Linked DNA regions of Oreochromis niloticus. The protein of the gene in region 1 interacts with the protein of each later gene in a biochemical or structural test. Links are inferred from orthologs where the notes say so. Each region holds a gene or a part of one and is shown in the gene's direction. Other genes may lie near its edges. The genes, in order: map2k7, mitogen-activated protein kinase kinase kinase 11, mapk8ip2 and growth arrest and DNA damage-inducible protein GADD45 beta.

Region 1 (7,836 bases):
GGCTATTGGCATCATGAGGAGGGTAAAGCAAACACACACACACACACACACACACACACACACACACATGCGCGTTCGCTCATACACACAAACTGTTTGTGACAAATGCTGCACTTACACGTGAAACACTGAATCAGTCCGGCATCCTCACTTACTCACAGTCAGACAGTTGATGCTTCGCTGTTATATCCACTCGTCATTTCTTATTCTCGTGTGTCTGTGTGCAGCTGTTAAGGAGGAACCCAGAGAGAAGATTGGGATCTGGTGAGAAGGATGCAGAGGAGGTGAAGAAGCAGCCATTTTTCAAAGTAAGTAGACTTAGAGCTACCTAGGCAACTTGTTGGGGGTGCAAACTGAGCCTGTCTCAGTTTAGCTTCTGCTAATGAATGTCCTGTTCTTAATATTTAGGTAAATTGTCTGTTTTCAGCAGCAGTATCAGCTCTCAGATACCTGAAAGCTTTAGTGATGTATTAATGTTAGCATGTTAGCATCTGGCTGTAAACACCCGAGAAAAACCTCTTCCACCTCTCAGTGTTTGCTAACGAATCTCCATCCTGCGTTCTCATCTGTACCTTCAGATTCGGGGCGATCGTGGCTCAAGAGTTGGGAGTTCGCCTTGTAATCGGAAGGTTGCAGGTTCGAGCCCCAGCTTGGACAGTCTCGGTCGTTGTGTCCTTGGGCAAGACACTTCACCCGTTGCCTACTGGTGGTGGTCAGAGGGCCTGGTGGCGCCAGTGTCCGGCAGCCTCGCCTCTGTCAGTGCGCCCCAGGGTGGCTGTGGCTACAACGTAGCTTGCCATCACCAGTGTGTGAATGGGTGTGTGAATGACTGGATATGTAAAGCGCTTTGGGGTCCCTAGGGACTAGAAAAGCGCTATATAAATACAGGCCATTTACCATTTTAATGTTAGCATTGTGTTTTAGACTAAGTAAAATAAAGCTGATATCTGAAGGTACAGATGAGAACGCAGGATGGAGATTCGTTAGCAAACACTGAGAGGTGGAAGAGGTTTTTCTCGGGTGTTTACAGCCAGACTGTTACGGTGGTTGTTTCGAAGCCTTTTCAATTGCAGTTTTAATTGCTCTTCTTGCTTTTATTCTTGGCTCTGCATAACCCTCCTTTGTGGTTTATTCATCAAGGACATTTTACAGTTGCTGGTTGGCTCTAGTTTCTATACTATGCAGCTATTTGTCAAAAGTTTTTACCTTGTGTATAAATTCTTGCCCTGATCCTTTATATCCTCCATCATTGCTGTGTGCTCCCTTGCATAATAGACCCACCTTCTCCTTTTCTCCGTCTCTCCCTCCAGAGCATGGACTGGGAGGCGCTGCTGCAGAAGAAGTTGCCCCCTCCCTTCGTCCCGTCCATCGGCGGCAAAGAAGACGTCAGTAACTTTGACGAGGAGTTCACCACAGAACCTCCGACGCTCACGCCTCCACGTGAGCCCCGTTCGCTCTCCCGCAAAGACCAGGACAGTTTCCGGGACTTTGACTACGTCTCTGACCTCTGCTAGTGGACCCGAAGCCAACAGATCTCGAGGAACGTTGGATTTCGACGACTTCGCAACAGTTTCAGCCAGACCAGAGAGATATGTCTCTAGCTGACTGTCCGCGCTCGTCTGTCGCTTCTTGTTACACTGTGAATGAATGAAACTGAAGACGAAGAGACTGTGTTTCGTGTGTCTGCAGAGTTTTAAAGATCATGGACTGAGCAAATGAAAGCCTGGACAGATATTAGTTGGGGTTATAATGTTCTATCACAAACAAAGGCCCCCCTTTCCAGTCACTGTACAAAACTGCAGTGGGTTTTGTAGCTTGCAGACTTTAAAAAGTCTCCTCCCTTCTTCTTAGGCATCTCGGCAGTCGCCAGTTCAGCTGTAAGAGGCGGAGCTTGCTGTATTTTTGTACTTTTGACTGTTTAGGGGTTGCTCAGTGGCCTCTCATACCAATGCCTTACGTTTATACTTGTATTTGTTCCACAGAAAAAAAGCATTTTGTTTTACTTTGTGGCCCTTTGTGTACAGCAGCAGGGCGAGGAGGGATACAGTGTGCTGCAGAAACTCCTCTATGTTTTTGGAAGAGGGAAAAAAAAGACACTCAGAGCTGATAACCATCAGTCTTTTGACTGCTTTTAGGTGTATTATTAGTTAACTAATGGGTAAAGAACCACTGTCCTGCTTCACTGCAGTGGACCTTCCTTTGGATGTCCACCAACTACTTTTTAAACTTGTGCTGCTCGGATTTTACAAGAGCAGTTGACTCGTCCTTTTTAGTTGAATGTTTGGGTTTTAGGAAGAATTTGATATAAATGTGTAGCACACACACACACACACACACACACACACATAACCGTCAGCATAAAAGCTTTGTGGAAAACATTTTTATTATTCCAAAAGAAAAAATCTGAACACTAAACTGTGATGTACAAGTAACAAACTGCTCTTTATGGGTTTGGAGACACGTTCATCCAGTCACCTGAGTGCTACCAGAGATTTGTGAACATGAAGTAAGTGATTTCCCTCCGAGGCGATTAAATCTTTAACCTCACTGGCTGTAAAAGTTGTTTTAGTGTCTGTTTTCGGAGCTTAAGCCCTGACAGGTTACGCTCTGGCTGCCGCGGTCGCTGTGGCTGTTTCCGAAACTTGCTGATGTCTAAGTACTTGTGGAAATTCTGCCGGGCGCCATACGCAAAACAAACATGAGCTGCTTTTCCACAGTAGAACCAATTAGAGAGGCGAGAGCTCCAATTAGAGGCGAGAGCTGGCGTAGACCTTTGGTAATACCTTTGATGATATCTGTAGGAAAACGATGAGCCAACAGTGAAAACCTGTGTAACACACAACAGCAGTGGTTTGTTGTTAAGATGTATGTGCGGTGGTGTGGATTTTACCTGTCTTGTGTACGACAGTACAGAACCATGTGAGTATGAGATGACGTATTTTATAAAGAAAACCGTGAGTGAATATTATCGTCTCTTTATTGTCATCGTGGGACGGGGGAAAGGGGCATCTCAAATTCATTTAAATAAAAATAACAGTAATGCGTTGGCTACTCACCTGCTGCAGTGATTGAATGAATACTCAACGGCCACTTTATTAGATACGCCTGTTTTACTGCTCATTAACTCAAACATCTAATCAGCCAATCACATGGCAGCAACTCCGTGCACTTACGCACCTCTAGACCTCTCGAAGCAGAATGTGCACATCCGTCACTGCAATTTAGAGAATAGTCCAAAACAGAGGAAATATCCAGTGATTGGCGGTTTTCTGGGTGAAAATGTCTTATTGTTGTAAGAGGAGTGAGGTCAGGAAAAAAAGAACCACTTGCTAAATACAAAGTATGTAGAAGAGCATCTCTAAACGTGCAACGTGTTGAACATTAAAGCAGATGGGCTACAGCAGCAGGAGACCACTCTGGCCATACGAGCTGAAGTCAGCATTAAGAACATAAAAGCATGGATCTATCCTGACTGTTATCAGTGGTTCAGGCTGCTGCTGGTTTAATGCCGTGGATTATATTTTAAGACAGTTCTGAAATGGTATTAGCAAGGTGTACCCAATAAAATGGCTGGTGAGCGTATATAGCCCATTATCACAGATTCTGTATCAACATTTATCAGTACATTCATTCAAACCTGCCAGAGCAGGACTAAAATGAAATTAGAGGATAAGTAGTTTATTCTCCTGATGGACAAAGTCAAATTATCTGTCATTTCTTCTTCTCGTGAAATTACATCCGAGAAAAATGAATCAAGTAGCAAGCTAAGTATTTCTGCTCTGTAATGAGCATCTGTTTTAATATGTGAGTCAAAATTTTAGAAGAAAAAAGACTCCTTGTGGCAGTTTTAACCTTATCACAGGACTAGTGAACAAACATATCACTTTAACTGGATTCGCTGTATTTGCACCAACTCCTGGAGTCTCCCTGACTTCTGACTGGCTGCTAAAGAAGAAAGCATCACTAATGGAAAAACATCAGAACTGGTCCTTAATGGTCGGCCTTTCCTAGAAACAGGAGTTCCTGGATCCGCAATGATAAGTGCCGATCTGCATCTTATCCTCATGTACTCTCAGCACCATGTAAACAGTAAATTCTAGTAATAATAAATAAATCATTTCACTTCAAATTATCTCAGTAAATGTCCACTACCTGCAGGGAAATTATAACATGAATAACATGTGTGGAATCTTTTTGTGTGGTTTTTATATCTAAAATACTCTGAACACTTCATATTAGATTAGATTGATGTTCATATCTTGCATCGAGGGGTGGAAGTACTGAGAACAGCAGCTGTAACAATAAGGATGTTGTACATACTATAAAATCCTGGTGTAATCTACCTGTTCAGCAGCAGCCCACTTTCATTACAACTTTAATCATAAGAAATGTCTCTTTTTTTCCTCTTAAATATTCATGTGCTGACTTTATTTCCCTGAAAATCTGAGCATATTCAACTCCAACCCAGTCTGGTAGGTCAGACTACCAGTTTTAAACCTTCCCTTTCAGTCTTGCTGCTATCCTTATATCACAAATTGTACTGAAACTAACACCTAAACGTGCATTTTGTGCGCGTCCTAAAATGCAAACAAACTCTGATTTCTACTTGCTGCCCAGTAACAGGGGTTTTTTTCCAAGCCTGAAAATGGGTAATTAATTGGTAATTGCTACCAAGAATATTTGTTTTTAACAGTATTAGGGTATAAAATGTGATTTTCTTTAGGTGGGCACCAAGAATCTATGGGAAAAAAGAATGAGCGTGTGTACTGCAGCGTGTGTGTATATGTGTGTGTATATGTGTGTGTCAGTCAGTCAGTCAGTGTGCTGCTGGCCTGCCTGCCAGAGAGGGGAGTCGAGAGCTCTGCTGGGAACTACATGGTGCTCAATTTTTCAAGATGTCGTCGCTGGAACAGAGGCTGTCGCGAATCGAGGAGAAACTAAAGCAGGAGAATGAAGAAGCTCGCCGGAGAATCGACCTCAACATCGACATGAGTCCACAGCGGTCACGACCGAGGCCGAGTGAGTGTCCACAGGGGAGGACCGGGGTGTCGGTAACGGCCACAATAGCACGGGGAAAGATCGGAGCTGCGGGGCCGGAGAGCGGGGGGAGAGGAGAGGAGCGGAGGGAAGGAGTCGGGGCTGTTATGCTGCTGCTACCTTCATGCTAACAGGCTAGCTACATAAACAAACACAGACTCAGGCTGGTCCGCTGATTTTACTGCCAAATTAATAATTAAATAAGTGGGACATTTTCTGTAGTGAGTAACGTAAAGGAAAAGTGTACAAACCGAAGCGATGTTACGAAACATCTTGCCGGTAGACGTGTCCCTGAATCTGTTTTGATTCTGTCCTGTCAAACATGCTAAGCTAGCAGGCTAGCAGCCTCTCTGATAGTCTGTGGCGGGGCCCAGCGTCAGAAAATTTAATGCAGTTTCAGTTTGCGCATGAAAATCTGTGGTCCTGCCAGTCAGCCGCAGAGCATCTATACACTCTTACAACCTGTAACCAGTACATTTGATCGTGATTTTTGCCATAGACTTTATTTTAGTTGCCATTTTGATCTTGAAGAAACATGCTAATTTGAGCAGGCTAAATAACGCTAGCCCTGGATACGCTAACTTTACGTAGGTTACGGCTTAGCTGTTGTGGCAAACACTGGTGCGGCGTAACATATCTTGTGAAAATTGAGATTTGTCGCACATATATTGAATGAAGCGCTCTTTGGGTGTTAGTGGACACAAACTCTGTGTCACAGAAGCTGGTGTTAGCAGTGATGTTGGGGCCCTTTCAGGAGAAAAGTCAAGCAGCAGGGAGGTCTGCAGCCTGCCTCTGCTGTGGTTTACACACCAAAGCTCTTCATTATCTTTACATTCTTACCAGCAGACTTTCAAAGTGTTAGCAATCTGAACCCCTTATCATTTTTTTTTCTGCAGATCTTGTTGTCCGTTCATTAGGTTCGAGACCACAAACCTTCGTTTTCCTCCTGTTATTTGAATTGTTTTTTATGAAGCTGATTATGTTGTCACAAAGAGAGGGTTAAATCCGAAGTTTTTTCTTATTGTTGAAATCTCATTTGAAGCCTACAACCTGCTAAAAAGGTGCACCCGGAGATTCAAATCCTGGTGATAAAGGTCATTTCTGCGAGATTAAAGCTTGATTTATTGCCAAAAAAGGTGCAAAATTGGCTTTTTTCACCTTGTGTTATTACATGAAAAGTCTGATTGCCTCCCAGATTGACTCCATTAGAATCACTTGTTTTAACTTTGGCGTCATTAATGTCTAATGAAGCCATGCAAAACTTGCCCATCATGACACTTTTCCAACACGACAGGCCCTCTGTGCTTTTTAATCCACTTTATTTTCTTGATAGCGTCACAAGTATAAATTGACTGAATAACAACAATAACTCTTTAAAAACTACAACAAGATAAGTTTTATCCCCACTCCATACTGACTGGAGATAAAATGTTCTTTTTTACAGAATGAAGATGCACTAGTCTAATATTTGGACAAAATATTGAAATATGATTCCTCCAGTGTTTAAATACTGCGGTTTTCCGGTTTAGGCGAAAATGGTGAAATCACCCACCAATGTGTACTTAAGGGCCTGTACCTCAGAGTATTTACTGAATGACAGTCAACTTTTGCATGGCTTCAGTAAACACACTAAAGTTACTGTATAAGAAAAAACAGCTGATTATGAGGAGGCCGGATGGAGCTTTTTTCAGATTTAATTGGTTTCATATGAAGTGACACAGTAAGCTACTGACCCACTTTTTCTTGCACCTTCAATACGTGGCCTTATTTTGAATCCTGGGAAAAGAGTGCCACAGAAAATATGAGAGAAACTATGATTCATTAATGTGCAGTGTAATTGATTTTAGTCTTCATGAGATTAATAGACAATAAGAAAAAGTTCAGTTTAAATTTAAACCACTCAAGTTATGTTGTGAAGAAATGAGCGAGTGATGTGTGTGTGGTGGGGTGAGGTTTTTGTTTGTTTGTTTGTTTGCTTTTGAGGGGTTTTTGTGATTTTTGACTGTGTGTGTGTGTGCAAACATGTGCGATTGTCTCAGTAGAACACTGCAGTAATGTGCGTGTGTGTGTATATTTTCTTTCCTCCGTCTAGTCATCGTGATCCAGCTCAGTCCTGCTCCAGCCCCTTCCCAGCGTGCAGGTATCATTCAATCCATCGCTCTCTCTGCCACTGCACTCCCCCCACCTTACCAACACCTTTGTCCTCCATTGCATCATCCACTCCCTCCTCCTTCATCTTCTCTCTTTCTTGTTTTTGTTTTTAATATAAATGCACACTTCTTTAGCCCTATAAGACAAGAATAACTTTGGCTGGTCCTTACATTCTCATTAGTTTTCTTTGTTCTGGCCCTGCAAGTAAAGCCTAAAAAACACCTCGATACCACGACTTTCTCCACGTTTCTCTTAACATCCCGTTTAATTTAGAGGTTGAATGGATAGGGCTATGGTGAGAAATATGATACTGTATTTACAGATGCCAGCTAGTGTTCAATCTGACCACCGTCTAGTATGGGGTTATATCGTTGTTTTGTCTTGGCAGACTAGAATAGACTTTGAATAACTCATAAAAGTAACTTATGTGAAAGACATGGATTACCATCAGCAGTCCAGCATATAAACATCCAGTTTTATTTCCTACTCAATAAGGATGCACCGATCATACAATCTAAATATTGGATAATGGTGATAATACTGTGATCCAACAAGTCGATGCTTTTTTTTCTCTAACCATTGTTATCATTGTTAAGTCTGACACTTGTTTGGAAGCTTTTCCTGGACTTCATACAAAGAAACGTGTTT
Region 2 (7,947 bases), on another chromosome or scaffold:
TTGACTGGGATGACATTTTAAGACTTGTCTGAAGAAGCACTAATTGGTTGGTAATTACATCAGCAGCAAATCGAGTTCAAAGCTGTCTTATCTCAAGAAATAAACACTCAATTTACTTTACATAATCTTTCAGCTCTGTTTTCGTGTTGTGCCTCCCATTAAGGTGCTGCTATTTGTCTTTTCATTTGTAAGAAAATCTCCAGACAAGCAAACTTTTTTTCTCTCTCAAAAAGTTATATAGTCTCACATTAAGAGCACATAAAGGCATATTTCTATATGACTGGTAACTGCAGCCTGTTAAGAGAGAAATCTGGTGGCTGACATTATGCCAAAAACAGGAAGAGGGCGCTCTTTTCCTACTAGAATCAATAGCCAAACCTTTGCTGGCCTCAAGTTGAGTAAGTTGTACCTGGAGTTCCCTGTAAATATCAAGATTCATTTTGGATATTTAACTCTAAAAATAGTCCATTATTTTTAGTGCACAGTTAATTTGACTAATAATGTTTAAATTTAAAAGGTAGCTTGTGCATAAAATGCACTTGGTTTGACATGACTCCTCAGAGGTTAACACCTGTTCCTGTGCCCCCACAGCTCCAACGCTCCCCCTCAGTATATGCACATGGCCAACATGGTCCCAATGGGCAACATGGCTCCGACGCAACCCCCGGGCACCGTGGCCTTCGCCCCACACGCCTCCATGATGAGCATGGCTCCACCTCCCACAGTCCCTGCACCGCACAAGAACGGGGACGACGACGACGATGAAGATTATGACTCTTAGCTCGTTCTCAGCGCTACACTCACACACTCTCTCATTCTCTTCTAACACACACACACACTCAATGTTATTTTTCAAATTCTTAAGTTGTTTTTCTGGCAGCTGCTGTAAGCAGAGGAGAGAGAGAGACTCTTCATTGCAGCCTGCTGACCAAAACGCCCTTGACGGCCAGCTATAAGAGCCACCACCACCGCGAGAGACACAAAGCCTGTACATTATGTGTTTTAATTTTCTTTTTCTTCTTTTTTTTTTTTTTAAAGAAACTTTTATTTTATTGTAGAGAAGAATCCAACGAGGATCTTTTTTAACAAGTCAGTCCCTCGATTTTTGACTAGGAAAAATGGCGGTCGTCACCGTTTTTGCAGACACGACAAGCTTGGGCCTCGCAGCTTTTTCTTTTCTTTCTCTTTTCTTTTGGGAACTTTTTTTCCTCAGTTTCCTGTTGTAGACCTGAACATATCAGTCGTTGTCACTCAGATCCTCAGGGTGGCTGAAAGAATCCGTACATAGTAGTTGTTGAAGCTTTCTTTCAAGGCAACAGCACGGTATTTGGAAGGTGATCATCGGAGAGGTTGGTGTCTCACTGCTGAAGTGTTATGACTATGTTATAGATTGGCTGTGATATACAGCTTTTAAGCTGTGAGCTGTACTTCCCGGCTTTGTCACGACTTGCAGCCCAATTCTCCGGCTGTAACATAAATAAGGAAGCAGGTGTATTTTTTACTATACGTTAGCTAGCTACAACTTTTTTTTTTCTCCCCCCCCAAATGAGTTTCTATTTTTAAGTCGCGTTTTTATCAAGAGAACTGTAAACCTCCACAGCTCTGAAGTCAATCATATCAGCAGGTTAATGAGTTATTGATTATTTGTTGTTCATGACCCTGGCAGAGGTCTGTTACTTTGGCAATTGGATCTTGTTATTATTATTATTACTTTACACGACCATTTAATACCCCTAAATTGCCCATCTGAAGTATATTGTGACTCTTGGACCATATGTTTGTTTTTAAAATCTTTTTTCCTCTATTGTCCTCTCTCATTTCTGTTCTGGCCTCTCCTCCAATTTTGAGTAACTTGCTCCTTTATCCTGACTGTTTTCCTCCCCTTTTTAGATTCTTTTAAATGTGTTGATTGGAAGCAGAGTTGGGGCACCCGTTTATGTGTCAGTCTCAGTATGAAATGGTCGCAAACAGACAGTTGGCACTGTATTGTAAACTTTTAACATTCTTTTTATTTTGTATGTAAAATAAAGTTCATATTTCAATTAAAATGGTCCTTGTATTGGTTTTATTTCTGCATTGGAATTGAGAGCTTGAAATACTTTCCATATTCAATATCGGCTTAAAGGCAAAACCAAAGTACACTTCCTAATATTTCAAAAGCCCTCCACTGTAATTTTTTACCTTCATGGGTGTGGAGTACATCCTTGGTAGTTCCAACTCCTTGCGCTTTGGAATTCTCTGCATTTTCTAATGTGCAGTTTACCTTGGATGCTGTGCATCTGCCGACCGGTGACTCAAGCAGCCTGAAAGACACAGCTTTGCAGTCTCCTTCTGGTATTTAATCAGATAAAAGTGCAAGACAGTACAGGTTTGTGGAAAAGTGAAAGAGGTGATTGTTATCGTGGTCTTGCGTTGTGTTCAGAGTAGCTGGCACACTGTTCATCCAGCCCCCTTTCCTCTTCCTCCTGCCTCTATTTTACTTTTTTTAAACAGTCCCCTTTGTCGTGTAAACGCAGCCGCCTCTCTTACACCCACCCCCAAACACAGCCGACCAAGCAGTGCAGAGCTGGGACCACGAAAACAACTGCATCCTTCCTGCACAAGCGTTGACTCAGCGCACTGTGAGGAGGGAGGGGTTTTGCTCAGTGTGTGTGTGTGTGTGTGTGTGTGGGGTAAAGAGGGAGGAAGGTGGGATGGGGTGTCGGTAGTTGACTTTAGGAGGTTGGTGTTCAAACAAACGGCAGCCGTGGTGCAGGGAAGGAGGGAGGGGAGGGGAGCCATCAAAGGGCTAACAGAAGGAAGCACGCTGTTTCCACACAGGAGCCGGCGGGGACAGAGGTGACCCTCTGATTCCCGTCACCTCCCGAGAAGGCACTGACTTACAAACATGGGAAAATATGGCCAAGAGGAATTCCCTGACCTTTTCCAAGATAAAGTCTTTTTGTTTGTATGGATAGAATGCACCTTCATCAGTGGGAACACCAGCAGTCACTTACTAAAATATACTCCAGTCTTTACTGAAGGCTATTTTTAAATAACTTTTAAATATTAGGTGACTACAAAACCATGGTGTGCGCCCTGTGTGGGTGTTTTTGTCATGTTAAAAAACATGGTTGGGAACGTAGATGGACCAGTCAATCATGAGCTTCATTTTTATCACCCAGCTCTCTCTTCACAACAGCAGATGGATGGTTGTGGATGCCACCCTCCCTCTCTGCTTACTGATACTTAAAATTCCTTTACTTGGGGCAGCAACAAGTCCTCGACCCAGAGTGGCTGAAAGCCTTGACCCAAGACTCAAAGGTGCTAATTCTCATCCACGTGCTGCTGTAAACTGTCCCAGTGCAAACGGGAGGTTATGGTTTGATGAAGCCAAGAAACGACATCAGCAGCAGCAGAAACAAGATCCTGAGACCACTGAACCTTCCCCTTCTGCAGTTTCTCATGAACGCTAGAAATTTTGTCCATAGAAATTATGAACACAAACAGTGACAAAGGACAGCCTGGCAGAGTCCAACACCAAAGAATGGTCTGACTTATTTTCAGCAATGCAATGGACACTTTGAGGAATGAAAAATTTTCCTCCAAATCCACAAAACACATGCTGACTGCCGCACACATCCTTGAAAAAATATCTGGTAAAGTGTTCAGTGACCAGGGCCAGTTCCTGATTCCCAGGTGACATACAAGTATTCCAAGTATGTGGACAATTTTCGTAGTTTTGCCTCTGTACATCACCTTGGTGGATTTAAAATCAAACAATCAACATGTGATTAAAATACAGACTTTCATCTTTAATTTAAAAGGTTTAACAAAAGCATTGCATGAACTGTTTAGGAAATACAGCCACATTTACATAGAAATTTGTTCTAGTATAACACTAGATAATATTCCATGTAATATTGAATTAAATTATAAAATATAAAAATAAAATAAAAATCCAAAATTTTATGTAAAAAAAATCCAATTATGAAATACTGTATTTATGTAGTTCTCACAATCTGAACTTTTCACTGCATAAATTAATCTTTATTTTGCACTAATGGACTTCCATCACCAGGTGACATCATCACCAGGATTACTAAATATTCTACCATACTTATAACTATAGTGCAGCATTTATGAGTTTATTTTTCCCCAGGTTCTTTCAAAATAAAAGTCAGATTAAACTGTACCGTAAAATCAAAACAACATCTGCGGTTAAAAGATGTGTCTCTTTTACCCAGTATTTCAGAATCACATCATTAAATGACTATTATTGTCAATTCGTCAAAACTCATTTTAATCGGGCTAGATTAAAAAAATGTAAGTGTAGGCAAAAACTTCCTCTTTGTTGTTTTGTAAGTAGCTGCTTAATTTGGTGAAGTTAGCTAACAAGAAGTTAGCTAACTTCGAAACACGGGAACTGGGGAAGTCTTTTAAAATAAAAGTATCAGAACTACAAACTATAGTTTTTAAAGGAGGCCACAAACCACTTTAACTTTATTCTTTTACCTGTGCTCACATGTCAAAATAATTATTTCTTAACTCAGGTTACTGCTGCAAAATAGTATCCCGTTCAGATCTGGGTACTTTTATTAGGTATATAATATATACTAACTTGAAATTACATTACACAGGGCTTCGTATAGGGTTTTAACTGCATAGGAAAGCAAGATTATTAACAACAACAACAACAACAATAACAATAATAATAATAATACTAATAGTAGTAGTAGTAGTAGTAGTAATAGTAGTACTATTATTATACTACTTAGTATATATAGCAGTAGTTCTAGTAACAGTAAATGTAGATATAAGTTAGTATTATAGCGCATTGTGATGCACAGCTTGGTAGCTAAACACTTCCAACTTCTAAGTTATAACGCAACCACGTAAAGGCGCCCACAAGTTTTATTTTGAAAGTTTCAAGAGAACGCGTTACGCCGTTCCGCGTAACTTGACGACGCTCTGTCATCTGACTCTTCCTGTTGGGAGAGAAAAAAGTTTTGAAACCCCACCCTCTCCACTGACCGTAAGCGCAGACGTAGAAGTGGTTCGAGAACCTGGCGAGTGAGCTCTGCCCGAGGAAGACAAGTGTGATATGAAGTTATGATGGAGTTGTTCCGCTCTTTGGATACCGACTGTAAGAACGGGGGACTCGAGACGGACCAGGCCACGCGCTGAACTCCCACCAGGAACTAACGGGATTTGTTTTTACTGCGTTTCTCTGAGGAAAGTAGAGCCGAGCAGGTTTGGAGAGCTCTTCCTGTTACAAAGTCAGCGGTCCCCAAGTTTGCTTTATGTTATGGTAAAGGCTGGCTATTTGTGTGCTTCCCATAAGACCGTGAGCATGGATACTTTGGCGCAATGGGATGCGGGATTTCCTGCGGAAGTGCCGCAAAGTTGCGGTGAGACGCCGTTATTGGAGTTTTGGGCTTAATGCGGACTGGACAGCGCTGAAACTTGTCGTAAAACACTGGTTGGCTGGACTGAATGCTCCTTTCCTGCTATTCTTCTCCGCTTCTCAGCGCTTCCTGCTTGTGGTGGCCACTGCACTTAATGGCTAAAAATACATAAAAACTTAAAATGGACAGTTAAGTGTGGTGGGAACCTTTATTACCAGTTGCAATAGCAGTACCTGGGAGTGTTTCACAGTAAGCTGAGTAGTTTTTATTCGTGTTCTTAAACTTTCCCTCTCTAAAAAAAAACAAAACAAAGTCAGGACTCAACAGGTGGCAGTTTTGAATGAGGGGGAAGAAGAGCTAAATTAGCCATAATGAGGTGATTCGAGAGGCTCTTAAATACAGGCCGGTGAAATGATATTGTGCTTAAACCATGTGTTGGAAAACCACACACCACATCACTTGAACAGAGAGAATTTCAGTGGAAGCAGTGCTGTCTTTCTGAGCTTTGAAACACTTAGCCTTAATCAAACAAAAGAAATCTCTAGTGATTCATCCGATGGAGAGACGAGTTTAATGCGGTGATGAATAAAAGACACTTGCGCTTCTGTTGTCTTTGACTCCTCTCCTCTAGCCCACTTGTTGGTCCAACTTTTGAACACATTTCATTAGTCCCTGATGAGCCAACAAGAAAGACAGGAAAGGGAGCGAGGCGCAATAAAGTACTCCTTTGTACTTTATTTTCAAACCCTTGGGGTGCTAAATCAGATCCAGTCAAAACATCTGCTTGAGGCTCCATGGAGCCACTGAAGAATATATTCAGCCGTGGCCCGCTGTCCAACTGGAAAAATTTGGAACAATCGCAAAAAGGGAACTTCACCAACCCTGTGTGGACAGCCTTATTTGACTATGAGGCATCCTGTAAAGATGAGCTCACCTTACGTAAAGGCGATCTGGTGGAAGTCCTCTCTCTGGACTCGGAGATATCAGGGGATGAGGGCTGGTGGGCGGGAAAGGTCAACAACAAGGTGGGTATCTTCCCATCCAACTACGGTTCCTTCAAGCCGAGTGGATATGGAAAACTTCCGGGCAGTGCTGTGGTGGATGAGCTTGCTCCGGCTGTGGTGGGTGAGTTTGAACCAGAAGAGGTAGATTTCCGGGAGTTGAGCCTGGAGGAGGTCATCGGGGTTGGGGGATTTGGAAAAGTGTATCGTGGTACATGGAGAGGAGCGCTGGTGGCGGTGAAGGCCGCCCGCCAAGATCCGGACGAGGACATCAGCGTGACAGCGCAGAACGTGAGGCAGGAGGCCCGTCTGTTCTCCATGCTCACCCACCCCAACATCATCGCCCTGAAGGGCGTGTGCCTGCAGGAGCCCAACCTGTGTCTCATCATGGAGTACGCCTCAGGTGGGCCGCTGAGCCGTGCTCTGGCAGGCCGTCGAATACCACCGCACGTCCTGGTCAACTGGGCTGTGCAGATAGCCAGAGGGATGTTGTATCTGCACAGTGAAGCCATCGTCCCTGTCATCCACCGGGATCTCAAGTCCAACAACAGTAAGTCCTTCAAGCCCGCAGCGCAGATCAGCATAGCTTCAGTCTGTCTGTTGGGGGTTAGTTCAACGAAATCAAAGGTTTGGATATAATTACAGGGCCTTCTGCTTAGGAAAGCCTCATGGCTCTAATGAACATGGCTGTACTGTAAAGCTCCTAAAGGAATCTCTCAGTGTTTACAAAGCTTTATCTAGAACAAAGAGGGCCTTTTAAGCTATCATTCAGTTTGCCAGATTAGTCCGTCTCTCATTCTGATTCTGTATCATTATTGATAAGAAATTCAGATTTATCTAGACTTTGACATCATGTGACTCCTGGGCTATATAAGGTAGGCCAGACCTATAGACGGCTGACGCATACCAGGAAAAATTAACATAAAGTGTCTTAGGGAAATGCAGGGCCAGTGTGTGCCAAACCAGTCTGCAGCGCTCCACTGAATGGATTGAACACACCACTCTTCCAAAACATGCTCCTATATTTAGTTTGGTGGGGCGCTCTCATTACAACTTTGTATTGATTTGTGGGGGATGTGCACCCTAACCTTGCCAGCAAAATTCCCTCACAGCATAACTCCAGGTCCCTTCACTGCATGGGTCAATTTACTTTTGTTTGTCATCTTTGTGTGCCTGCTTGTGTGTGTTTGCATACTGCTCCTAGGACAAGAATACCAAGTTTTTCCTGTGAAAGAATGCAGTGGACGAGTTTTACTTCTCGGCACCGTTATATCTCACACTTTGGACTTTAACGCTGTCCTCTTCTTGCATCAAAGGTCTTGCGTCAGTGTTTTCGGGGCCTTGTGGCAGACACGTAGGCGTTGGACCTTGTCATTAAAGCAACAATGCAGGGAGATGTATCACTGATAAAGCTTTCTGTCTCCCCCTTTTTTTTCTGTAGAATAAGAAGCTCTTTTCTCAGCTCTAACGGCAGCTTTAACCCAAACAGAGAGCCAGCTGAATTGTGCAGCAGCTTGCTCTCTGTTATTATCATTCCTGTGACGCAGCATATAATCCCC
Region 3 (7,745 bases), on another chromosome or scaffold:
TGTGCATGCATCTCAAACAGAATATACAGTTTCTTAACCTCCTCAGAGTCAAGCTCTTGTTTAGGATGCATTTTTATTCATTTGTTTTTTAAGTCACTCTTCATACGACTAAACTGTTTATTTTACGTTAAAACCCAATAAAGTCATGAATTTGTAATAATAGCATCTTGAGAGGCAATTCTGAGTAAATTAAAAAGTGGTATAAACAAATTAAACCAGAGAAGAAGTATTGTGTAAATTGTACAGATACTATTATTTATTTATCTGAGCCACAAGAGAAACTTGTGTTTCCACAATTAAACATTCTGTCACTGTTGTCTGTACAGCTGCACTCATTAATCACATAAAAACAGAGACACTTCTTTTACACGTTCTTTTATCCCCCCCCACCCACACAAAACAATGTACTTTTGCAAGATCCCATAAAACCTTTTGCGAGATCCTGAGAAAGGCTTTTCCCCCTGCATTTATCGTACTTTCATCGATACCTGTGAAGCTGTCCAGAGTACTGCAGCTGGTTGTTAATGAATTCTTTCTCATATCCGCTTCTTTCATTTTGTGGTTGGTGGTTAATCTGTTACGGATTAGAGCCATATTGATCTGCAGAGCTTTACACAAGGTGCTTTGGCAAAATATTGATTTTGATCTACTATGTTAGGGGCACCTAAACCAGGGTCAACATAACCTTTTGTGTCCTGTTTTTCTGCTGCATCTTTGTCACCTGTTTGAATATCTTTTCTCACTTGTTTGAAGAAAACATGCTTGAAGAAGATTTGCCTGTGTGCTCCACAGTCACATTTTATGACTAAGAAACTGAAGAATCTGAATCCAGATGTATAAAACAGTTGCTGGATATCTCCAAAAGTTGAATCTGTTCATCTGGACGTAGCGTTTTGTGGGAGAAACGTTTCGTCACTCATCCAAGTGACTTCTTCAGTCTCAGCTGACTGCAGGTTTCCCCAAATCTTATAAACAGTACATTTGCATAATTGCTGGATAGTGACTGCAGTCATTCCACTGGCTAAAATTTGCACTCATCAACCCTGAGGGGAATGGTCAGCTGAAGGGGTGGGAATGTAGCGAAAGTAAACAAGTTGACTGTGTTATAAAAGCAGGTGGACATTTCCAACTCCCTTACAGCACCTAGTGAACTACTGTGGGCACTTGTTGTTGTGAAACCATGCTGCTGAAGTGTGCCACTGTTTGCCTTGTGGCACTGGCCTTGCTTGGTTTCTGTGATGCTCAGGGTGTGAGCCGTACCTCACCACCTTTTGTGCCTAAGGTGTGGCCTCCAGACCTCCAACAACAAAAACAAATATTTGAAAAACCACTCACGTGGACATACCCTGAAGATCCTAAGCCCAAACCCAAGGCTGACGTGCCGTTCCAGCTGAGATATCCAGTTTCTGCTGCAACTGTTGCTGTTGACTGCAGGGAGGACATTGTTCATGTGGAAGTCAAAAAGGATTTCTTTGGAGTTGGCCAGCTGATAAATTCGGCTGACCTTACCCTGGGATCATGCGCTGTTGTCGGAGAGGATACGGCAGCTCAAGTGCTGATTTATCAAGCTCAGCTGCAGAATTGTGGGAGCACATTAAGAGTATGGAGAATAAATATTACATTATTGTGAAATTTAATTCAAGTGCTGGGAACAGGTTTATGTATAATTTGACTTGTTTTGTATATATATGTTTGATAGATGACTGGAGATTCCTTCATCTACACCTTCACAATGAACTACAACCCCCAGCCTGTGGGTGGTTCTCCTGTGATTAGGACCAACAATGCAGCTGTAGTTGTGGAATGTCACTACCAAAGGTACGTAAACAGTTGGGAAGATTTGTTAAGATAAAGACATCAAAACAACAGAATTATATTGCTATTTAATGTGCTCTATAGTACGACCTAAATATTTTTAGTAATCTAGAATTTACCAAATGTAATCTGGATATTTCAATGATATGTTATTCTTGCTTTAGTTTTTTGCATTCCTGTAAAACATGTCCTGTCACTTAGAAAGCACAATGTAAGCAGTCTCGCTCTTGAACCCCTCTGGGTGCCATTCTCTGCCGCTAAGATGGCACAAGAGTTTCTATACTTCACCCTGACACTCATGACTGGTGCGTTTAAGATCAGTTTCTCAGTGTATTTTATATCGTATGCGACCTTGATTCAAAATGCATACTTGTTTGAATTATAAAATTGTCATGTCTTGTTTCACAGATGACTGGAAAAATGAGAGGCCAAGCAACCAGTATTTCCTGGGTGACGAGATTAATTTTGAGGTCTCTGTCATGCAGTACCACCATGTGCAGCTCCGTGTTTATGTGGACAAATGTGTAGCTACCCTTTCAGCCGATGCATCTTCTAGCCCAAGATATGCATTCATAGAGCATGGGTAAAGCAGTTTGATGAGATTATTGAAGTTGTTTTGTATATTAGGACCTGATTATCACAGACGCCTATGTTACTTTGGTTATTTCACATTGTTTTCTTGTGTGCAGGTGTATGATTGACGGTAGGCTCACTGGATCTGTCTCGAGGTTCCTGGATCGCACTGCAGAGAACAAGCTTCAGTTCCAGCTTGAATCCTTCAAATTCCTGAGTGCTAACAGTGGAAAAGTATGCAATTCCAAATTTGAGTTACTGAGTGCACTGTGTTATATTTTCAACAACATTACTAATGTAGAACTATTACATAGAATAATAACATAAATTCTCTCCTGTTCTTAAAGCTGTACATTACCTGCAACTTGAGAGCAACATCTGTTGCCCAAGCCATTGACAGTAACCACAGAGCTTGTTCCTACTTCCGTGGGTGAGTCTACCTTTGTACACATGTATCAATGATCATTAGACCAGAACTGATGTGGCGGTACTGCTTACATTTCCATTTCTCCCAAGGTGGAAGGAAGCTAGTGGATTTGATGGTGCTTGTGGCTCCTGTGAGTCTGGACAAACTAATACTGGAATTATAAGTGACAGTACTGGAGGTGGATTTGGTAATACAGGCACGGGAAATACAGGAACAGGGACTACAGGCACGGGAACTGGAAATACAGGAACAGGAACTGGAAATACAGGAACGGGAACTGGAAATACTGGTGGTGGAACGCCGGGTTCTACAAACTTGGGTACTAAGGTCCCTTGGTTTAGGAGGACACGGGACGTGTCTCAGCAGGAAGGTATGTGTTTTAAAAAAATACAAGTATTGCAACATTTTAGTAGAGGGAAAGTTTCATTTCATTTGGTCCTACAAAAAGATTAGTAATTGTTTTATGCTTTCTATTTTTTAAGTAAAAAAAAACATAATGATGCATACTGCAACAATTCTTCTTTCTTTTCTCAGTTTTGGAATGGGAAGGAGAAGTCACCTTGGGTCCCATCTCCATTGAAGAGAAGACGATAGCTTAAAACAATTTCCTGCTATAAACACGGCCATTAAAATGAACTTCATCTGTGGTTCATGCCTGAACATATGTTAATTTCATTCTTCTTATTCATAGCTCACAACAATATAATAAGACATTGAGGAATGAAAAGGCCCTTCACTGAAACGTAACTCCTTTTACATGCCCCCTCTCTGTAATTACAAATGTTTTATATGGAGCTTGTCTGTCCATGGATTGGAACTATTCACATGTAATGGAAATAAAAATGCAACTGTTTGAATTTATTGTGTAATTCATTCAGAACTTTCTTAAGCTGTGCATTGAATCTATTGTAAATTGAAACAAAAAATAAAATCTACTCATAAAGAAACATTGAATAGATATAATAACAAGTATAATGAGTTAAAAGAGCAATCAGGGGTTGAGCAAAAATTACTCAATAGCACATGTTAGACAATATAGTCATCTGTCTTCTTGTTGTAATTCTATCAATATGCATGCTTTTAGGGTAAAACAAACAAACAAAAAGGTAAAACAAATCAATATCATATCACTCAGAAATCATAAGTGGATGAAGGAAGAAGCCATTCACAATCAGCACAATCAGATGCCATTTCAGTCAATTATCAGAGTCAGCATCTACACCTCAAAGAGCGAAAAAACCGGAAATCCGGGCTCTAATCATGGCTTTTATTGTGCTTCCATGTAAGTCCGGTTTTCATTCAGCAGTGAGCTTTTGCTGTCACCGTGTGGTATAAATGCTACACTTCAGTTTAGCGAGAGAGATTTTCAGCACCACATGCAGTGAACAGCTACACGGGAGGTCTGATCATAGAGCAGTATAAGTAGCCAAACACTTCAAAGTGTGCCTATAGGTTTTATGGATGTTCTCTGTGTTTTATTAAACTCATTTTTATTTGGGTCACGATGGAAATCGGCAAGTTATGGACCGGAAATTAAAATTCATATAATTAGATTTCATGTGTTCACCCACACTGCAGAGGCCACCAAATGGGACACGTTACAGTATACAGGCCTTGTAGACCTTGCAATTAAAAAGCGTCCTCCAGTCCATTCTAAGGCACGGTTACAAAACGAGGATTTAAAGTTGAAGTCCCTGCCTTTTCCCGGGGAATCCTCGGATCTCCCCAAGGCTGGTCCACACGGACGTTAGCGCGAAAAGCACGTTTGCTTTGCCTGCAAATTTTACTCACTATAATGTCATCTAAACAACTTTATGGCCGCTGTTTTATCTGTTTTGCTCCGTGTGACCCTCTAGGCTCTGACTACATCCACTCAGCACAGCCTGTTCATATGGTATCAGCACTGACGTTATACCGTCTCCGCTCCACACCCCCTCCTCCTCCGTCTCTGCCTGTCTCCGCACTGCTGGCCTGTATCTGTTGTGTGTCACGGGCAGCATCACAGCGGCAGACATTTGGAGAGAAAAACACGGACTGCGGATACAAATTGCCCGCTTCATGTTTTGCAAGGACATAACCGGGGAACACAGAGATTTCCGTGTTACTGCGCGCTGCCGCTGAAGCTCTTTTTTTTTGTCTTATTTGCCTTGACACCCCTCCTTATCCTGCCTGTGTGGATGGTTGACTGCAGATTTCATGGTGCTGAGCAGGCTTGTCTGATTGAAGGCTTGCGGCCAGGGGGGCATCTGTGGGGCCGCAGATAGAGAAACCTCTGTCCACTGTCCCGTCCCGTGCGCTGTAATTGTGAATGGACTGCGCTCCCTCCGTGATTTTCTGCAGTCGCTCTGAGTCATTTGTAGAAGAAGATGGCGGACAGGGCTGAGATGTTTTCCCTATCCACCTTCCATTCTCTCTCTCCTCCTGGATGCAGGTAAGAGCTCGTATGTAAAGTGACAGTGAAGGGTCGATGGAGGATGCGCTGGGCTGATATGAAAAAGCGCCATGCATATCGGTCTGTGCTGCTTTGATGACTGCAGTAAAAACGCACATCCCCAGCCTAGGTTGTAATAGATACTGTGAATAACCTGCTCGGCCTTCTGCTGCCTCACTGCGCGCATGTAGGTGCTGCAGCTGAACATTGCTGGTTGTTTATGTTTTTGGGAGAGACGACTTGGTGAAGAGGGAAAAAAAGACTCGCGTTTTAGTAATTTCTGAAAATTGCAAAGAATGGCAAATTGTAAAACATATTGCATATGACTGATCTCTAGCTGTGGCGACAGTCACCCGCTTTGCGCATTCTCTGTGTGAGGCCCACGCCCTGTTGAGTCCAACCCAGGCAAGGGCACGTTGCTGAACAATGATTTACGGAAGTCCTACTGATATTGATGTTGTGTCAAACGCCTCTAATGTGACCTCTGCGACAATCAGCATGACAAATCACCCCCGGTTTCTTCTTGTAGAAGCATATTTGTGGGTGGGTTACTCTTGCAGAGGCAACTTATTTCACACGTAGCGTTAAATCAGTGCTCTCTACAAGGGTGTTGTTGTTGTTTAAAATATACAGTTTGGCTTGTTGTAGTGTAATTGGCCTGGTAAGATGAGAAACACTGAGACATCTTGTAGTAAATTTAATGAACTGTGTGAAGAGAGTGCAGTAAACCTACTTTTGATCCTGGATGTGTATTGGTAACAGTGTAACATAACAAATAATATTAATGTGTTATAACAATGTGATCAGCATAAACAGACTTGCAAGACATCACTAACAAAGACCAGAGTTAAAGTAGCACCATAACTTACAAGTATTAAACAAGTAAACCAACCTGGTATCTTTTCTAAGCTTTAGACAAGAAATGCAAAAAATAAAAAATAAAAAATAAAAATAATACAGTTCTGGATTAAAAAAAATCAAGCTTCTTATTAATTGTAGACATTCTTAAATCATAAAATATACAATAAAGAAAAATATTCATTTTGATTTTCTCCTAATTTACATAATTTGTACAGCCTTTCATGGTCCTGGATGTATTTTTAGTGCTATATTCAAGGAAGTTTGCAGGAATGAAGGTGTCCTGTTCACAGTCCTTTGACTTCTTGATAAGTTGGCAATAACGTGGGCTTCAGTGTTGTATTTTTTCTCAGCGTGGATATATATTTGCAATTTAATCTATAACCAGAGGGCACAGCTCTAATCTGTATAGTCAACCATTTTACATCTTTAAGTTCCTGAAGCATAATTTAACACAATACTTTGGATTTGTTGATAATAGACCCCACTGGCTCTTACAGCTGATTATTTGAATTCTAACCTCATAGTTCATAAATTCATCAACAGTAAATCCTATATATTGATGTATGTACAATTCCAAAGGCCAAAGTTCTTACACTACTTGCAGTATCTTTTCCCTGGAATGATTAATAATAATAACAACCTGTCTCTATTTCAACTTTTCATATGATTTTCATATGTTATGACATATAACCTTCAGGGGCTGCTGTAAGGCTTTACTCTGTGTCACCAAACATAGCAGGAATAATAAAGAAAACACTGATATTTCTAACTGTGTTGCACCACTACAACATACAGCTACTATAAATTACTAGCACAGAGTAGCAGAGAGAAGCTGGATAAACTACTACACTAAAAGTCTGTATCTGGCGTATTTATCAGGATAGCATAAGCCCTGTGCTCTAATTTGTATGAAATAAACACATTTCATTTCAACATGCCTGCTTCTGCCTCCAACATGGCTCATATCCTATAGAGGCAATCACATTAGCAAACCAGTCCTGGTAGATTTTATATCCACAGCATGTACTCATGTGGGATTTCAACTGCATTGCTGGATCATGTCAGATCAATATGACCAGATCGTTTGCATGACTACCGGTGACCTTAGTCAGCTCACTCAGCCAAGCCCTGGCCATGGTATTAATGTTTTAAATTCACGGCACTACAGCCAAATCTAACGAATCTTAATTATATTAGAGGAATCATGTGAGGAGTAGTTTATTGCATTACTCCTTTGTGGAGGCTAATCGGTTTGTTTCTGTTGTTTTCAGGTAGTTTTTTTTATACATTTGAGAGGGAACAAGTGGTTTGTGTTTATTTTTGGTTGGCTCTTCACTTTTTGATTATGAAATATCAGTAAGAAGGGATGTAGAAAGAGAGTTTTTCTGTAAATGTCTGATTGTGTCACAGCTTTGGTGTGTGTATGTGTGTGTGTGTGTTGTCTCTTTCTCTGTGCATCTGTGTGTGACTGATTCATGAGTGAAGCCACCAGTTGTGTGATGGTGTGGTCTGGTAATCTGCCTTGCATAACCCTAACACTGTTTCCAGTAGGCAACAAAATCCATGAGAGGCAGCACCTCTCTCCCCGGAGCACCAGAATATTATTATTGGTTATAAGTTCCCCTTTGCGGATGGATA
Region 4 (6,917 bases), on another chromosome or scaffold:
AAAAGAACCCACCCACCACTTTAATCACACTCTAGATCTTGTTTTAACATATGGCATAGAAACTGAACATTTAACAGTGTTTCCTGAAAACCCTCTGCTGTCTGATCATTTCCTGATAACATTTACATTTACAATAATTGATTACACAGCAGTGGAGAGTAGACTTTATCACAGTAGATGTCTTTCTGAAAGTGCTGTACCTAAGTTTAAGAATATAATCCACCCACTGTTATCATCTTCAATGCCCTGTACCAACATAGAGCAGAGCAGCTATCTGAACGCTACTCCAACAGAGGTCGATTATCTTGTTAATAATTTTACCTCCTCACTACGTACGACTCTGGATACTGTAGCTCCTGTGAAAACTAAGGCCTCAAATCAGAAGTACCTGACTCCGTGGTATAATTCTCAAACACGTAGCCTAAAGCAGATAACTCGTAAACTGGAGAGGAAATGGCGTGTCACAAATTTAGAGGATCATCATTTAGCCTGGAGAAATAGTTTGCTGCTTTATAAGAAAGCCCTCCGCAAAGCCAGAACATCTTACTATTCGTCACTGATTGAAGAAAATAAGAACAACCCCAGGTTTCTCTTCAGCACTGTAGCCAGGCTGACAAACAGTCAGAGCTCTACTGAGCCAACCATCCCTTTAACGTTAACTAGTAAGGACTTCATGAACTTCTTCACAAATAAAATTTTTATCATTAGAGAAAAAATTACCAATAATCATCCCACAGATGTAATATTATCTACAGCTACTTTCAGTACCATTGATGTTCATTTAGACTCTTTTTCTCCAATTGATCTTTCTGAGTTAACTTCAATAATTACTTCCTCCAAACCATCAACGTGTCTTTTAGACCCCATTCCTACAAAACTGCTCAAAGAAGTCCTGCCATTAATTAATGCTTCAATCTTAAATATGATCAACCTATCTCTAATAATCGGCTATGTACCACAGGCCTTCAAGCTGGCTGTAGTTAAACCTTTACTCAAAAAGCATCTCTAGACCCAGCTGTCTTAGCTAATTATAGGCCAATCTCCAACCTTCCTTTCATATCAAACATCCTTGAAAGAGTAGTTGTCAAACAGCTAACAGATCATCTGCAGAGGAATGGCTTATTTGAAGAGTTTCAGTCAGGTTTCAGAGCTCATCACAGCACAGAAACAGCTTTAGTGAAGGTTACAAATGATCTTCTTATGGCCTCTGACAGTGGACTCATCTCTGTGCTTGTCCTGCTAGACCTCAGTGCAGCGTTCGATACTGTCGACCATAATATCCTATTAGAGCGATTAGAGCATGCTGTAGGTATTACAGGTACTGCACTGCAGTGGTTTGTATCATATCTATCTAATAGACTCCAGTTTGTACATGTAAATGGAGAGTCCTCTTCAGACACTAAGGTCAATTATGGTGTTCCACAGGGTTCAGTGCTAGGACCAATTCTATTTACATTATACATGCTTCCCCTAGGCAACATCATTAGAAGACATAGCATACATTTTCACTGCTATGCTGATGACACGCAGCTCTATCTATCCATGAAGCCAGGTAACACACAGCAATTAGTTAAACTGCAGGAATGTCTTAAAGACATAAAGACCTGGATGGCCGCTAACTTTCTGCTTCTTAATTCAGATCAAACTGAGGTTATTGTACTCGGCCCTGAAAATCTTAGAAATATGGTATCTAAGCAGATTCTTACTCTGGATGGCATTACCTTGGCCTCCAGTAACACTGTGAGGAACCTTGGAGTCATTTTTGACCAGGACATGTCCTTCAATGCACATATTAAACAAATATGTAAGACTGCTTTCTTCCATTTGCGCAACATCTCTAAAATTAGAAATATCCTGTCTCAGAGTGACGCTGAAAAACTAGTTCATGCATTTATTACTTCCAGGCTGGACTACTGTAATTCATTATTATCAGGATGTGCTAAAAACTCCCTGAAAAGCCTTCAGCTGATCCAAAATGCTGCAGCAAGGGTACTGACAGGGACTAGAAAGAGAGAGCATATTTCTCCTGTTTTGGCTTCCCTTCATTGGCTTCCTGTTAAATCCAGAATTCAAAATCCTGCTCCTCACATACAAGGTCTTAAATAATCAGGCCCCATCTTATCTTAATGACCTTGTAGTACCATATCACCCTATTAGAGCACTTCGCTCTCACACTGCAGGCCTACTTGTTGTTCCTAGAGTATTTAAAAGTAGAATGGGAGGCAGAGCCTTCAGTTTTCAGGCCCCTCTTCTGTGGAACCAGCTTCCAGTTTGGATTCGGGAGACAGACACTATCTCTACTTTCAAGATTAGGCTTCAAACTTTCCTTTTTGCTAAAGCATATAGTTAGGGCTGGACCAGGTGACCCTGAATCCTCCCTTAGTTATGCTGCAATAAACGTAGGCTGCTGGGGATTCCCATGATGCATTGAGTTTTTCCTTTCCAGTCACCTTTCTCACTCACTATGTGTTAACAGACCTCTCTGCATCGAATCATATCTGTTATTAATCTCTGTCTCTCTTCCACAGCATGTCTTTATCCTGTCTTCCTTCTCTCACCCCAACCGGTCGCAGCAGATGGCCCCGCCCCTCCCTGAGCCTGGTTCTGCTGGAGGTTTCTTCCTGTTAAAAGGGAGTTTTTCCTTCCCACTGTCGCCAAAGTGCTTGCTCATAGGGGGTCATATGATTGTTGGGTTTTTCTCTGTATCTATTATTGTACGATCTACGGTACAATATAAAGCACCTTGAGACCACTGTTGTTGTGATTTGGTGCTATATAAATAAAATTGAATTGAATTGAATAAAGTGCATACCTGTTATAAGGTTATTGGTGAGCCCTCATACAAATCATATGTTATGGCCTTCACGGTCACTGGATCTCAACTGAAGCTCAGAAAAAATGAAACAGAAAAAGAGATTTTATATTAAACTCACATTCTATAATTTGTTAGTTACTGCTTGTAAATCTATTTTATTGCTTTCTTTCATTTTATACTGTTTTCTTCCATGAATATCTAAATATAGCAATAAATATAATACTTTAATGTATTTAAGTTGTATCTATTTCTGTAAAAAAAAAATACTGTAAGAAAACACTATAAAATATAACAAAACCATGACATAATTATTTATACACGTAAAGTGTGAATCCTTAGATCGGACCACTAGGTGGCGCAGTAACACCAGAAAAATCTGTTCATACAGCAACTCCAACAGATTTTCTGCTATTTCAGTGGACAAGTGCTAAATCAGTTAAGTGCTTACAATGTAACCGACAATACACAATATTTCATTGTTTATTAGATAACCCTATATATTTGTGGATGTTCCTAATAAATAGATTTCAAACTGTTTAGCCGTGGCTGCCAAATTTCCCTTCTACCTATGCACACAACGTCTTTTATGTTTGCACAGATTACAGGCCGATTTTGATATATTTCTAATAAATTGCTGCACATGGTAAAGTGAAGCCTGTAAATAGTTTCATTTTCAATTTTATTTTCGTGGAAATTCAGAATCAGGAAGTCCCCGAAAAACAAAACAAAACATCAAACCCCCTAAAAATGTTTTTCACTAAACCTCCCCTTTAGGAATTCCCAATATTTTCCAAAGACCGGGACTCGCTCTTGCTCTGCACGTGACCAAACGGTTGTTGCAGGGTGCTGTTCCAACAAGCCTTCTCTGGGGCTTTCGCCGCTGACAGCAGATGCATTAGGGAGCCGCTGGAGGGAGTCTGAGACCTGGTTTTAATGGGCAGACAGTTCATATCAGGCTCGGTGAGGTGGACCTGATCACACAGGGCCACCGATCAGACGTGTGACAGCTCTGCGTGTGATGTTAAAAATGCATGTGACAGAAAAAGGGAACCTGCATTCATGAATGTGAAATATGAAGGTTATAATAATAGTTTTGAATGTTGTTGTAACATACTTCTGTTCTGCACGCTGCTGTTGCAGGCTTCAGCAGATAAACAGCTCTGCTCCTATATATAGGGATTATTTTTATCCCTGTTGGAGGTAGTGGTGCTGAGCTGAAGCTTCCAGAACAAAACGTGCTCTGCAGCTGCAATAGCGCCTCAAATGGTTTGCAAGAAAACAAAAAGATAAATTTATGTGTGATATAAAAGAGAAACATCACTGTCATCTGAGATTCTCGTGAATTTCGCCTCGTGCTTATCAGACAGGGCCTTTTCCCATTTCTTATAACCTTGCTCTTGCACAACGCCGTTACACAATGTCCGCCCAGCGCGTGCTCGCACACGGGGCTGGTCAGCTGGTCCAGCTTCCTTTTTATAACATAATTTGAAATACATTTGAATTTCATGTACGTCTCCGCGGGTGTGCAGGTGTATTTGGGGGGTTTGTGCACGAACACGATGCGAGAGCATTGCCACGGTGAAGCTTTCTTTTATTCGGCCAGCTTCTACCAGTGGGGACGAGGGAGGGGGGGGGACAGAGATCTGGAAATTCCTCCACTCAGAAAGAAAAGCTGCCGGTAAACAAACCGAGAGAGAGGGAGAGAGCGGCGCAAGAAGCGTAGGAAGAAAAGGAGGGAGAGAGCGGGGGATTCTCCGAAACCACCAACGTGGGATCACCAGCGTCTTCTGGGGCTCAGCAAATGGGCGCAGAGAACGGGGGATGTATTCATAGCGGCAAACCAATGAACGAACGAGAGACTGGGCGTGGCCACGCCTACGGTCGGGAAGGAGTAATATAACAGAGAGTTTCGGCTGACAGAGGCAGAGTTTCTTTCTACTCACGGACTCGCAGTAATCGGACTTGTTACTCAGTTTGACCGTTAACGGACTCTGAAAGGACCTTTGTACGATCTGGAATACCACTGTGTTTGGACGTTGTATCAGGAATTTCATAGTACAGCCGCATCTCCGCGCTGTGGATATTTCTTCTTATCCTGGATCTTGTGGATTATTTTACTGACTTCAACATGACTTTGGAAGAGGTCGTTGGATCAAACAGCACCGAAAAAAAGTAAGTTTCGGCTGTGTGTGATGCACAATTACGCACCGACACATTTGATCTGACATTACAGATCGCGTTCTAGTTGAGTTTATAATGCCGGCTTGTACTTTAAAGGTTGCATCTGCATGCTTAGTGTGTCGCCGGAGTTTATATGTAGACTTTAGAGTTGTTTGCCACAGTTTAGTCGTGTCGTTCGCACATTTCTAACCGCCTCCGCTTCTCTGCAGGATGGAGACGGTGAGTCAAGCTCTGGAGGAGCTACTGGTCGCTGCTCAGCAGCAGGATTGTCTCACGGTTGGAGTCTACGAGTCCGCCAAACTCATGAATGTGTAAGTATAAGTTTGATTTTGCTCACCTTAATTAACCACGCCAAAGCTTTTGATATCAGAAATATGTAATGACGCTGACATTAACCGGGTCTTTCACCTTCTGTCCCACATGCAGAGACCCAGACAGCGTTGTACTGTGCATCCTCGCAACTGATGAGGAGGATGAAGACGACATAGCGCTGCAGATCCATTTCACGCTGTTGCAGGCTTTCTGCTGCGACAACGACATCAACATCCTGCGGGTGTCAGGCATGAGGCGGCTGGCTCAGCTGCTAAAGGAGGACACCGAGGACAGCAACAGCAACGAACCCCGGGATCTGCACTGCATTCTGGTCACTGTAAGTGTGAACTTCCTTTGAGCTACTCGAGAAATGATACAAGTTCATGATATTATACTGTTGTAAGTTTAAAAAAAGTGTTTCCGAGAGTCTAACCGTCCGTCTCCACCGTGTTTTGCAGAACCCTCCAGTGCAGCCTCTGCAGTGCCAAGCCCTGCAAGACGTCGGCAGCTTCTGTGAGGAGAGCCGATGCAGCAATCAGTGGGTGCCCTGCCTGGAGCTGCAGGACCGTTGACTGGAACCGGGCCAAGCCAAACCGAATCAGACCGCCGGGGAGCGGTGAGAAAGAGTGAAAACAATCAAACCTGCGCAGAAGTAACGCGGTTTGAGTTGTTGTGCTGTGCCGGACCGACCCAAACCGGGAGCCCGATGGGGGAGGTCGTTGTGACCTCGTGGAGCACGTGAAACGTCGGTACTGGTAGTGGCTGTGGAAGCTGGACCAGACTGAGCAGGAAGTCTCAGTCATGGAGCTGCAGAGGGGGAAGTGAAGATGAAATACCAGGACTTGAGTGACGCAAATGGATGTCACATGAACGAACTGAAGAGCTGCACGTAAAGCTCTAGACTACCTGCGCTGCAGGTGTGGCAGGTGTTCTGCTTACCTGTTTGCTGCACAGGAACTTTTGTCATGATGTGATTTTACACACTGATGTATCTAAATACATTAAATATGAGTCTGCTTGATGTAATAGAATAGCCACAAGTGAGAAGTGAAGCCACATTGTGTCTTATTCTGTTTGGTCAATAAAGTTTTGATGGAAATATAATCGATTTTTGTGTGGTTCATCTAAGAGAAATGTGTATGTATGTGTGTGGTTTTTTTTTTTACTATCTCTAAGGGGTCTTGTGTTATTTCTAACGCATAGGAGGACAATCTGTCACAGAATCTAGAATTAGCTTCTAGGAAAACTATAGTAGCATGCAGTGTTGGGCCCATCAACAAATTCTGGCCCCATGAGTTCCACAGGAAACTTACCAAGTTCTGTTCAAGGTCCTATATTTGTAGAAAGACAAATCGTTCTGGGTCCAGTTTGATTCATATAATTTTTGTACTTGGGCTGCTGCATGGACCTCAAATTATGAGCTATCCCTGGCCCTGTGAAGGGGACTCTTTAAAGGACATTCCACTAATTTTGCACAAAGTTCAGTTCTCTATTCTGAGCCCGTCCTACTGTTCTAAAAAACATGCAGAGGACATCTATGGTATCATGATCTTGTCATCAGAGAACTGATTCAGCTATATTAAATGAAACTCAGTTTCATTTATTATAT

Evidence for each region.
Region 2: of the proteins of map2k7 (region 1) and mitogen-activated protein kinase kinase kinase 11, one has a biochemical effect on the other in vitro, tested with the Homo sapiens proteins (2 studies listed by BioGRID). The link is inferred for Oreochromis niloticus from reciprocal best matches to the Homo sapiens genes MAP2K7 and MAP3K11.
Region 3: the proteins of map2k7 (region 1) and mapk8ip2 form a complex in vitro, tested with the Homo sapiens proteins (2 studies listed by BioGRID). The link is inferred for Oreochromis niloticus from reciprocal best matches to the Homo sapiens genes MAP2K7 and MAPK8IP2.
Region 4: the proteins of map2k7 (region 1) and growth arrest and DNA damage-inducible protein GADD45 beta form a complex in vitro, tested with the Homo sapiens proteins (2 studies listed by BioGRID and IntAct). The link is inferred for Oreochromis niloticus from reciprocal best matches to the Homo sapiens genes MAP2K7 and GADD45B.

Annotation. Positions count from the first base shown.
Region 1 is NC_031971.2:26,956,124-26,963,959, forward strand, and holds the start of map2k7 (dual specificity mitogen-activated protein kinase kinase 7), read left to right. Parts: upstream 1-4,828; 5' UTR 4,829-4,895; coding exon 4,896-5,019; intron 5,020-7,129; coding exon 7,130-7,177; intron 7,178-7,836. Other genes in the region: pkn1a (serine/threonine-protein kinase N1), read left to right, coding at 1-22, 228-308, 1,311-1,514. UniProt on the Homo sapiens protein: Dual specificity protein kinase which acts as an essential component of the MAP kinase signal transduction pathway. Essential component of the stress-activated protein kinase/c-Jun N-terminal kinase (SAP/JNK) signaling pathway.
Region 2 is NC_031967.2:4,888,573-4,896,519, forward strand, and holds the start of mitogen-activated protein kinase kinase kinase 11, read left to right. Parts: upstream 1-4,931; 5' UTR 4,932-6,181; coding exon 6,182-6,938; intron 6,939-7,947. Other genes in the region: drap1 (dr1-associated corepressor), read left to right, coding at 592-781. UniProt on the Homo sapiens protein: Activates the JUN N-terminal pathway. Required for serum-stimulated cell proliferation and for mitogen and cytokine activation of MAPK14 (p38), MAPK3 (ERK) and MAPK8 (JNK1) through phosphorylation and activation of MAP2K4/MKK4 and MAP2K7/MKK7.
Region 3 is NC_031972.2:55,889,007-55,896,751, reverse strand, and holds the start of mapk8ip2 (C-Jun-amino-terminal kinase-interacting protein 2), read left to right. Parts: upstream 1-4,745; 5' UTR 4,746-5,181; coding exon 5,182-5,246; intron 5,247-7,745. Other genes in the region: zona pellucida sperm-binding protein 3, read left to right, coding at 1,181-1,600, 1,700-1,818, 2,017-2,120, 2,224-2,398, 2,505-2,622, 2,736-2,818, 2,905-3,185, 3,350-3,414. UniProt on the Homo sapiens protein: The JNK-interacting protein (JIP) group of scaffold proteins selectively mediates JNK signaling by aggregating specific components of the MAPK cascade to form a functional JNK signaling module.
Region 4 is NC_031980.2:37,373,174-37,380,090, reverse strand, and holds growth arrest and DNA damage-inducible protein GADD45 beta, read left to right. Parts: upstream 1-4,741; 5' UTR 4,742-4,943; coding exon 4,944-4,987; intron 4,988-5,205; coding exon 5,206-5,307; intron 5,308-5,422; coding exon 5,423-5,645; intron 5,646-5,766; coding exon 5,767-5,880; 3' UTR 5,881-6,412; downstream 6,413-6,917.